Drosophila melanogaster: one gene and its partner. The main gene of each other region encodes a partner of the protein of the gene in region 2 in a complex. Each region holds a gene or a part of one and is shown on either strand. Other genes may lie near its edges.

Evidence for each region. Proteins that work in one complex are often made in the same cells at the same time.
Region 1: pho (region 2) and rept share a complex: the UniProt entries of both Drosophila melanogaster proteins name them as parts of the chromatin remodeling Ino80 complex.

The regions. Positions count from the first base shown.
Region 1 is NT_037436.4:19,253,207-19,257,922, reverse strand, and holds rept (reptin), read right to left. Parts: upstream 2,584-4,716; 5' UTR 2,409-2,583; coding exon 963-2,408; 3' UTR 812-962; downstream 1-811. Other genes in the region: mRpL21 (mitochondrial ribosomal protein L21), read left to right, coding at 2,944-3,013, 3,090-3,625. UniProt on the Drosophila melanogaster protein: Acts as a transcriptional coactivator in Wg signaling caused by altered arm signaling. Pont and rept interfere antagonistically with nuclear arm signaling function, and are required to enhance or reduce arm activity, respectively.
Region 2 is NC_004353.4:1,178,505-1,184,008, forward strand, and holds the start of pho (pleiohomeotic), read right to left. Parts: upstream 3,125-5,504; 5' UTR 3,086-3,124; exon of another isoform or gene 2,864-3,085; intron 2,778-2,863; 5' UTR 2,635-2,777; coding exon 2,544-2,634; intron 1-2,543. UniProt on the Drosophila melanogaster protein: Polycomb group (PcG) protein that binds to the 5'-CNGCCATNNNNG-3' sequence found in the regulatory regions of many genes.

The DNA of each region.
Region 1 (4,716 bases), on a different chromosome or scaffold from region 2:
TCGAATTGTTCTTACTAACCAAATAAGATTACCAAATAAGAAGCCACCATGTAATAAGAGATTTGTTAACTAGCTATTGAATCACACTTTGAACATATATATATATTGTCTGCCTAGTCAAGGTGGAGTCATCCCCTAGTATGCAGTGTGGATTTTGGCGATAAGATATTGTTTTATCTTGCCTAAGAACACATTCTCAGTCGTATATATATATATATATATAAACATTATGGAATTGTAAATTGTATAAGAGTATAAACCCGTTGAGTTCATCTAGGAACTAGACAGATCACTCGAGACTATAACGATACACCAGGGTCTTTGAAAATCAAACTCAAATTTCATTTATTGAAAGGGGAGCAGCGCTCAAGGAGACTAACTAAGCCATAAAGACAGTTTTATACCAATGTAAAGATGATGCGACGATATATTTTGATATGCTCACGCTAAGTTTTAATGTCAGTAAATTGAAATGCGAAATAAATGCAATGAAATTATTTTTAGGTACAAGACGCGTGGCTGTTTTTCTAGTTATTTCCTAAGATAGCTCAAACTAGAAATTAGTGAGAATTGTAGTAGGAATCGAATAACATGCGCATTAAGTTCATTTCTGCGTTTTATTGATTATAATTATTATTTTGCAAGCTACTAAACGCAATTTTTAAGTTAATTATTGAAAAATTTGTACTATCTTGATTCCCTTGCTACAATGAGAAGAAAAATGATTTTATTTTTAGCCAATGCTGTATTTAACTACCCCAATTGGCCATTTGATATCCTTTTCCGAAATTATAAAACTTTGAAACCATATGCTGATAATGGTTTATTAATTACAATCGTTATAAAACCATGACCAAATTCGTAGGCATTTAATTTAATCATAGATACAAGGAAACTTATTTATTGATCATAAAATAGTCATGAGAATGTACTGGGGGGTTGCTGCGATGTCAGTTTAGACTCTAGTGCTCCATGGGCTGGGCATCTCCTCCGCCGCCCTCCACGCGACGCTTTGCCCCGCCTCCAGCGGCCGGGTCCCTTTCCACCTCCTCGGTGATCTCGCTGAACATGTAGTCATCCTGGTACTCCTTGAGGATCTTGCTCGAGCGATTCTCGTCCAGGAAGAGCGAGTAGACCTTCTTCACATCCTCGGTATTGACTTCGGTGGCCTTGCGGCGACGACAGACCAAGTTGGCTGTGGTAATCAGTTGGATGGCGTAGCGTAAACTGGTATCTGTGGCGATGCGTGTAAGAATGGTCAGGGCATCCGGGTGCATGATGCAGTCCTCCTCCTCGCAGCGAATCTTTAGGATCTCCTTAACCTCCTTCTCGGAATACGGTACAGTGCGTATGATGATCATGCGATCGAGTAGATCAATGGGTATGCCGTGCGGACTGCGATAGTTAGTGCCCCTAATACGAGTGATGCCGCGGTTGGTGGCCATCACCACCACCGGAGCCATGTCCGACTCCAGGGCGCGATTCAGGAAGGAGAAGCACTCAATGTCCAGCATGTGCACCTCGTCTATGAAGAGTACTCCCGGATTTATCTCAGCTTTGCCCTCCTCGCGCCACTCGAGAACCTTGTTGTTGATCTGATCGCGAACCTCCTGCTTGATCTCTCCAGTATCGCCGGAGAACAGGGCCAAGAACCCGTGGGTGCGACTATTGATAACATCGATCTCGTGTAGGGTCACAGTGTGCACCACCTCCTTGCGTTTTTGAAGCTCACCCTCGGGGCATTGGACGAATCTGGTCTGAGCGCCAGTGGCGTCGTAGTCCCTGGCTCTGGTGAAGCTGCGACCCAGCTTGTTGACCTTTCCGGACGCCTTGTCGATGGTGATCACATCGCCAGCCTGGATCTTCTCTTTCATGAAGCACTCGATGATCTTGTTGCCCAGATCGTAGTTGGTTTCCATCTCGGTGGTCTTGAGGGTGACCTTGCCCACCTTCTGTCCGGTACCCGAGGCGGGGCGTTCGATCTGGATCTCCACCACTTCGCCCTCGATGATCTCGGTTTCCTCCTTGATGCGAACGCCAATGCTCTTGCGCAGTGCCTGTGACAGAGCCTCGGTCTTGCTCATCTCCAGCGAGTATATCTCCGATCCGGACATGCTAGTGAATGGGGTCTCGGTGCCCAGAGCCTGCGCCATTCCCACAGCAATGGCCGTTTTGCCGGTACTAGGCTCCCCGGCCAATAGGATACATCTTCCGGCGATCTTGCCCTCGCGAACCATCTGCACCACAACGCCGGCGGCACGGCGCGCGTCCTTCTGGCCCACCATTCCCTGGGATACCAGACGAGCCTCCAGCACATCGTCCAGTCCCAATCCGCGGATATGCGAATGGGCGCCAATGCGCTCGATGCGAGTCACGTCGCGAACCTCGATTTTCTCGGTCTCGGCCATTTTGTGCTTTTGATTCTGTCTACTGTATCACTGGTCGGGAGTTGTACTCTTGTGCGATCTTTTCAGTGGCTTACTAGTTGTTTACTGGGCTTAAATAAGTTGCTAAGCATAAAATTCGTATATGAAATTACCGGCCTGCTTGGAGTAGTGTTGAAAGTTCGATGATTACACAGCACTGTTATGCGCAGCACATGCTGTCAGTGATGGCAGCGTGGGAGAACATTCGCTAGCGGCAGCTAGGTTTTACAAGTACACAAGCCGCTAAATATAATACGATTAAATTAAATGTAAAGGAAACCATTTTCCGAAATATCTGCAAGTGTGCGGTAACTTATTGTTATTTATTGAGTTGCTTCAAGCTTTAGTCGTACTAGCTATTACAAGCTATTTCTGAAAATGTAACAGGGATGTTAACGTGCGCATGCTAACACAGCTGTTCGAAAACGCGTTAGTGTTATTCACATTTTGCCTATCTGCCGACATTAAACCGATCCGATTTATTTATGTACTTTTGAGTTAAAAACAAAGCCAAACGATGTCCTTTCTAGCGCAAACTATGCGTCAAATGCTACGCCACGTGCCCAATCGCAGTTTGTTGACGGCAGGTAAGTGAATATTAAATAGCATCGATGTAAACAATGTGACATAACCAGGTCCCAATGAAATCCCATTCTTTTGTAGGTGCCATGCGTCCACTGAGCATATCGCCGGTAATTGGGCAGCAAAACAAGCCGGCGACGGAATCGGTGGATTTATCGGCCATAGCTAAGGATCAGCAGAAGGAGTGCCTGAGCATCTGCGAGCGCATCAACCGGCAGGTGCAAAAATCCGAGCAGGGACGACTCTTCGCGGTTGTCCACCTGTGCGGCAAGCAATTTAAAGTAACTCCAGGAGATATCATCCTGGTGGAGGGATACTGGCCGCCAACGATAGGCGACGAGATCAGCCTGGATAAGGTGCTCCTGGCCGGTGCCCGCGACTTCACGCTCGTGGGAAGGCCCATTTTGGAGCCCGGACTCATCTTGGTGAAGGCCACCGTCGTGGAGAAGACGCTCAGCCACACGAAGACGCACTTTAGGAAGAAGCGCAGGAAGCAGTACATGCGCATCAACTTCCAGAGATCTCCGCACACCATGGTCCGGATCAATTCAATTGAACTGGCTCGTCCAGTGGACGGGAATGGCGAGGGGGAGTCTTCCTCGAGGCGCTTGTTTTAGTTTAAAATGCTGTTGATCACGAAAAATAAACCAAGTTTTTGGAAGGTAATTAAGAAAACACAAACCACTTTGAACTGGAAGAGGATAACTTTATTCAGATGCTGATTTTGTATATTTTCTAAAACGGTTGAAACTTTTCTAGTGATATTTGTATATTTGCCCTTAATTCATTAATAATAAATGTCATAAAAATTCAATATTCTTAGGACTTTGTTACAATACAGATAATTAAGATAAAACCCATTTTGTAATTGATGAAATGTTATAAAGTTCTTGTTTTATCTAAGTCACCAAAATCAATTGTAAGCATCAGTTTGGTTTTAACTGCAGTCACTGATATCAGTGTTAACAGTACATATAGTTCTATAGTTCAGTATATTTTAAGCTCATATTAACTTTTAAAATATGGCTAGCTACAGTTTCTAAGTTTTGGCAGAATGTTCAGCAAGTTATCTAGCAATTTTAAAAACCAAGCAAATGTTTTACCAATTTTCATTCCTATTTTTGCCTCGTGGAATTTTGCAGATATTGCCCTTCTGCTGTTGCTTTTTGTCTTTCCATTAGAAATTCCACTTTCATCTTGATTCAATGACTCTGCCCGACAGTATTTACCCAAAACGGCAACCTAGTTTGGAATACGAGCTACCCAGCTCCCGACTCTTGCACCGCGACAAAGAAGAGGCGCCTGCTCTAATGAAGCAACCAGTAGAACCACTGCAATTTTAATGACAACCTTTTATCGCTCATGATGTTGTTGCCATCTTTCATTAAAAAAGACGTCGCTGCACCATCCAACCAAACTACCAAACTACCTAGCCAGGTCGGAACCACCCAACCAGGCAGCCCGACCACGATTTATAACCTATGGACATGGCTCACATGGGATGCCTGCTGTTTTCTTTATCAGCAGATGTAAGTTGCTCCCGAGTCGGCGGCTGTCGTATTTGTTTACGCTGCTCTTTCACTTTTCACTAACCAAAGGCGTTTACTTTTTAGCCTTTGCCTGGTAAAGCTGCTTTTGCTTTTCCCTGGCCCCATTTTCTAGTTTGGCCTTTCCGGTTTCAGTTTGGCCGCGGGGGAAATGAAAATTG
Region 2 (5,504 bases):
GATTGAACCCCGGAGACAATAGTTTTTGGAACGCCCAAAAATATGGCATCTCAGACATTGCAGCACTTCTTGCCTGCGAACAGCTAGCTTGGGTGGTTATGGTGTTGGTAACATTGGTGTTACTACTAGTTGTCAACTTCGCAAGCTCGAGAGATAACAATTGAGGGGCTTACAAAGCGTCGGCTTGGTTGAGCTTATCTATGATAAGTAACGTAATTGTCTGTCACCACTGCTGTGCATTGGATAGAAATAGAAATTGTGCGCGTGCACAGTACGATTGGAAGAGTTGTTGATGTGTTACAACAAACAGACTAGACTATCGCGATCGTCCGTATGCAACGAAGGCTAGGCAGAGACTGGGCATCATTGAATGGGTCCAAAAAAAATTCTTAATGTTTGCCTTGTGGGTCCTATTCCTCATTCCAGTAGACTAATTCTAATTCAGTTACCCTCCCTAGCTAACCGTAGAACGATGCTTGGAACAGTCTTTATTAGTAAGTTTACGAGTAGTACGATACGAGTAGTCCCGACCTGGTTTTTCGGCGAAACTTCTCTGTTCCAAGTATATTCACTAGAAACTACATACCCTTAATCTTAAATCATTCTGTATGTTCATGTTATGTTCTGACTATAATAGACGTAATCCTATTATCTGTAATCTTTACTCTCTGCCGCTCTTACAGCAATCAATTATAACTTTTTTAACACATAATTAGATCTTACTAATATTACACTTATACTTTGTTGTTTTATTTATTTCCTCGTTTCTGGGCTCTTTAAAATTTTATTTATTGCATTGTCCTTTTAAATATGCAAATCAACTTAATCAAATTCACTTTTTAATTTTTATTTCGTTAAACAACATCAGACAACTCTATTCTAATAAACACCATAAAAAAGTAAATGTCCATTCTACAAAAGTAAAATAAAAGTCGCTCACGAAAGAGAGGGAGGGATCAGGGAAAATATTTCAATGAATTCAGCTGTATATTGATCCTCTAAAGAAATAATTCTTTCAAATTTGGAAACTAGTTTACCTAGAAACGGACAAAAAGTGTATATAATGTATATACTTTATAACGTAATTAATACTTTATAAATATTGAACAAGTACAGGCAGACAATTTCGGGTAAAGGCGATTATATCAGTGTAAGCAAGCATGCACAGCATGTTGATATTTAAATCTATGAACAAAGGAGAGAAAATGTTCGAGTTCTCCGACTATCAGATACCCATTACGCAACTAGTGGAGAAAAATAATCAAATAGCAGTCTTGAGCGGATTTGTCTCTGAAATCTGCATGCTTAATCTCAACTTTCTAGCTTATTTAGTTCCTGAGATCTCGACATTCATACTGCCAGACATATCCAGTTCGACTTGGGTAGTTCACTGGATCAAAAATATATATACTTTATAGGGTCGGGAACGCTTCCTTCGGTTGCCATTGTTTTTCGAAACCCCTTTTACTTTGCGAGTTTAAGAATACTTATATAGCGTGATAAATTTTCAACCAAATTAGCTACTATATTCTCTATACAAAATTATTTGCGCAGCTAATTAAAAATACTTTAAATTAAAATTCTATGTCTTCAAAAGCACATTAGGATATCCGCAAATCCGTACATATCCATATAATATTCTTTAAATCTTTAAGCCAAAAGCGAAAAGGTAACGGGTCTTGTGCGCAACACCATCATGGAACTGGGAGATCTACGGCACACTAAACTAACGCTCACAAGGGTATAAGGACTCTGCAGTTTAGCAATTAAAGAACGATGTGAGTCAGATGGGAATCAGAATAACAGCTTTGATTGTGGACAGTCATGCGGCATATTAACATTTCAAGCGAACACTAGCAAGAGCGTGCCTGTGAGCAACACCATTATTGAACTTGAACGTCTACAGCACACCCAAACTAACGCTTACATGGGTACCCGGCGTCTCCGCCATTACAGGTAACTCACGAGAGATGAGGATTAGCCTCACACCCGTCAACACTGTGTTTTGAGTGATAGTCTTCCGAGTCTTGCCTCCTTTGGAAAAACCTTAACCTAACATATTACTGAACAATCTGATGATACTTCATTTCTTCGATGCCAAGGCGCTTAAAAGCTGACATTAACGATCTGGGCTTGGCTTAAAAATGTTAGTATGGCGGCTTAAACAATATTAAAATTTTAGTTTTGACAGTTTTTGAAGGTTTGTGGGCGTTGGAGTAGAAGTGGTAATTTTCTCTAGAATGTGCATGCTTTATCTTAACTTTCACATCTTTTATTTAGTTCCCGAGATCTCAACGTTTATACGGGCAGATCGACTTGGCGCTAGTGATCATGAGTAAGAATACTGTGGTCGATTCCTTCTACATACTTTTCAACGAATCTAGTATACCCTTTTACTCTAGGACTAACGGGTATAACAAGTAAATATGTTTATATTTTATGCTTCATTAAACAGTATTTTGTTGTTACGCTTTATAAAAAAGTGCTTTGTTGCTATAATTCGATTTTCAAAACATAGACATGCCTGTAAAATCCGAACTTACCTTCATTCATTTTCTGATTGACTTTTGTGTTGCCTATATCTTCATCGTACTGTTCACTTTGAAGAATAATTCCAAAACGTTCGTATGCCATATTTACAATACTATAATCCACATACGCATGAGTTTAAAGTTAGTATTAAAGCATTTCAAATGCCAGGATAATTGTAGGCACATGTGTTAGGTAAGATTTGTATGTTTCCTGAGCGTTGCATTCCCTGAGGCTATTTGATGTATCTGAAAGAACAGCATTTTTACTGCCATTATTCCATATGTAGGCAATATAAGACATGAATATAATATCACGGATGATTGATACGTACACACACAGAATTAATAATTGTCATATTTAAGTAGGGAACATAATATACATTAAATATGACAAACGGTTCTCTAAGAAAATGTAGTGAATATGTTAAAAAAATTCTGATTGAAATAATACGAAAGATTAATTAAACGCCACATAAATTTAATGATAGTCGAATTGTTTCACTAAAAGCCGAGGAAAACAAAAGAATTCAAGTAATTTTTATAAAACGCGATACCAAATGACTCAAAATATTGAAAAGGTTATTCTGCTTGTTTGGCATGGGTATTCGATGCCTAAATATTTGGGTTTTTTGCAACATACTAAACTTTAGTATTTTTTTACAACGCAAAATATATCTTGATTCCACGTCGACTAGCTTCTAAATATAGAACAAGCTGGCTGTAATCTCTGTAATTATATCGGTATAGCTTGAAATATACATGCAAAACATAAAATTAAATAATACTACAAATTTGTAAACCGATATGAATTAAATTTTTCATATGCTTAAAGAAAATCCTATCAAAGAATGTGTATATTTTTCTATTAGTTTTAGTGATAAATAAAGTTCATATGATACGGTCCACAAATACATTTCGAAAATGTGGAAATGGAATCATCCTCATTTCGGAAAACGAGTGCAATCATGCTATAACCAATTTCCCATCGTTAACAAAGCTTAACATGAGACTGGAACAGATTTAAAAGAGGCAACTGTTAAACGAAAGGGGAAAGTTTCTACTGCGTGGGATCAGGCACCGATGGTTCAACATCTCTACTGATCTTGTGTTCTGCTGTAGATTTGAAAAAGCGCCAATTCTGCCAATCCTTGTGTTTTGTGCTGATGTAAGAGATGCCAAGCATGCACAGCGATAATTTATAGTCAATCATGCTCCTGTAATTTTTATTTTTTATTTCGATTTGGGCAAAATCTTTTGATTTCGTTTTTAGCTGTTTTGGTTTTCGCAAAATTTTTGCTATCGGAATGTTTTGTAAACATTAAACAGCTGTTCAAGCTGTTTTCCAGACCATAGAGCGGACACCTTTTTTTACAGTTTTAAGTCCGACGTTCGCAATTACTTTGTTATTGCACTTTGACATTTAAGTAATAAAAATACATTTAATTAAATACATACAACTCTTTTGGCCATTCCTGAAATTCATTAATGAATTCTTTTATATTTTATAAGTATTTTTACCTGCCTGTTTCGTTTTACCAACAGTATGGCAGCCTTCGCAATAAATATTGGGAACGTACTTCTCCTTTGCTAATCCCCTTGCTAAATCGAAAATATTTGTTGCTGACGGCAAAATGTTGTTTGTCAAATCTGAGGTGGGGTCGGAAATACATTTTTTGTATAATAACGCATTGGCAGAATGATCTTGTGGTGATTTGGAATTAACATCGATAGACCACTGAATAAAATATTTTTTCCTTAGTTAATAAGATCTGATTTGATAGATATATGTATGTATAACAGGCATTTACTTTTAATTTCGCCCAGACAAAAGTAAAATTCTTACGAATTCGATTACCAGAGAATGTCAATATTGACCGTCACCAAAAAAGTGACTGCATTGTGCTAAACCAACGTATGGTCGTTACCAATCATGTTATTCTAATGTCTTTGATTTGACTCTGTTAATAGAGATTGAGAAATATCGATGATGGCGGACATCGATGTTTTTGGCGAAATATGTTGAAAAAACATCGACGTTTTAAATAAAAACAAAAAAGAATTCATCTATTAAATTTATTATTTTCTTTTTTAATATTGCTTCAATAAAGAGGCTGCGTATTGTCGTCCACCTTTTCATCCGCCGGTGGTCCAGTAATTGCTTCTATACAACAAATACAATTACATATATAATTAATGCATTTTCATGGAAAAGTAAACTAATATGCATTACTATATGCATACATGCATACAGTAAAATAATTGTTATATATTTGAGTCTAACTAATTTCAGTTGACTAAGGTCAACGCTAAGAAATAAAAAATTATCATAGAGATGGTTTTCACGTCTTTATTCTTTTGATCTCAGCTTAAGACTATATGTTAGTGACAAAAATCTTTCTTATACTGCCTATGTTTACATTATTTCTGGAGCGGGATCGCCCGCTTAAGATATTTATTGTATACAGCTAGCGTACATGGCGTGGAATCGCCACTCTGTATTTCTTCTGAAAGTGCTGATTATGTGAATATGTCACATATTGCCCATTTGTTTATATTATTTCCGGTGCGAGATTGCCCGCTTGGGATATTGATCTTTTTTTTTTGTGGACAATTCTAATTATTTAATTACGTCACTATATACTATATATATATTCGGGAGTTAAAAACATACTATTTCTCCATGGCTTCCACAACGCCAGTCATGGTATTTGGTACTACAATCCGATCTAAATAGATTTCAAATAAAGTGGCGTGAAAATAAACTAAACATTAATGGCTCCAAGTGTAAATATATGACCTTTTGTCGAGTCAACCTAATACACGTGACTTATACTATTGGTGGGTGCTTTTTGGACAGAATAACACATGGTGTTCTGGACCTTAAGCTTAAATTTTCAAACCATATTTCATCTATTGTCAATAGGGGTATGCTTGGTTTTATAAAAAGGTGGTCAAAGGAATTTGATGGTCTTT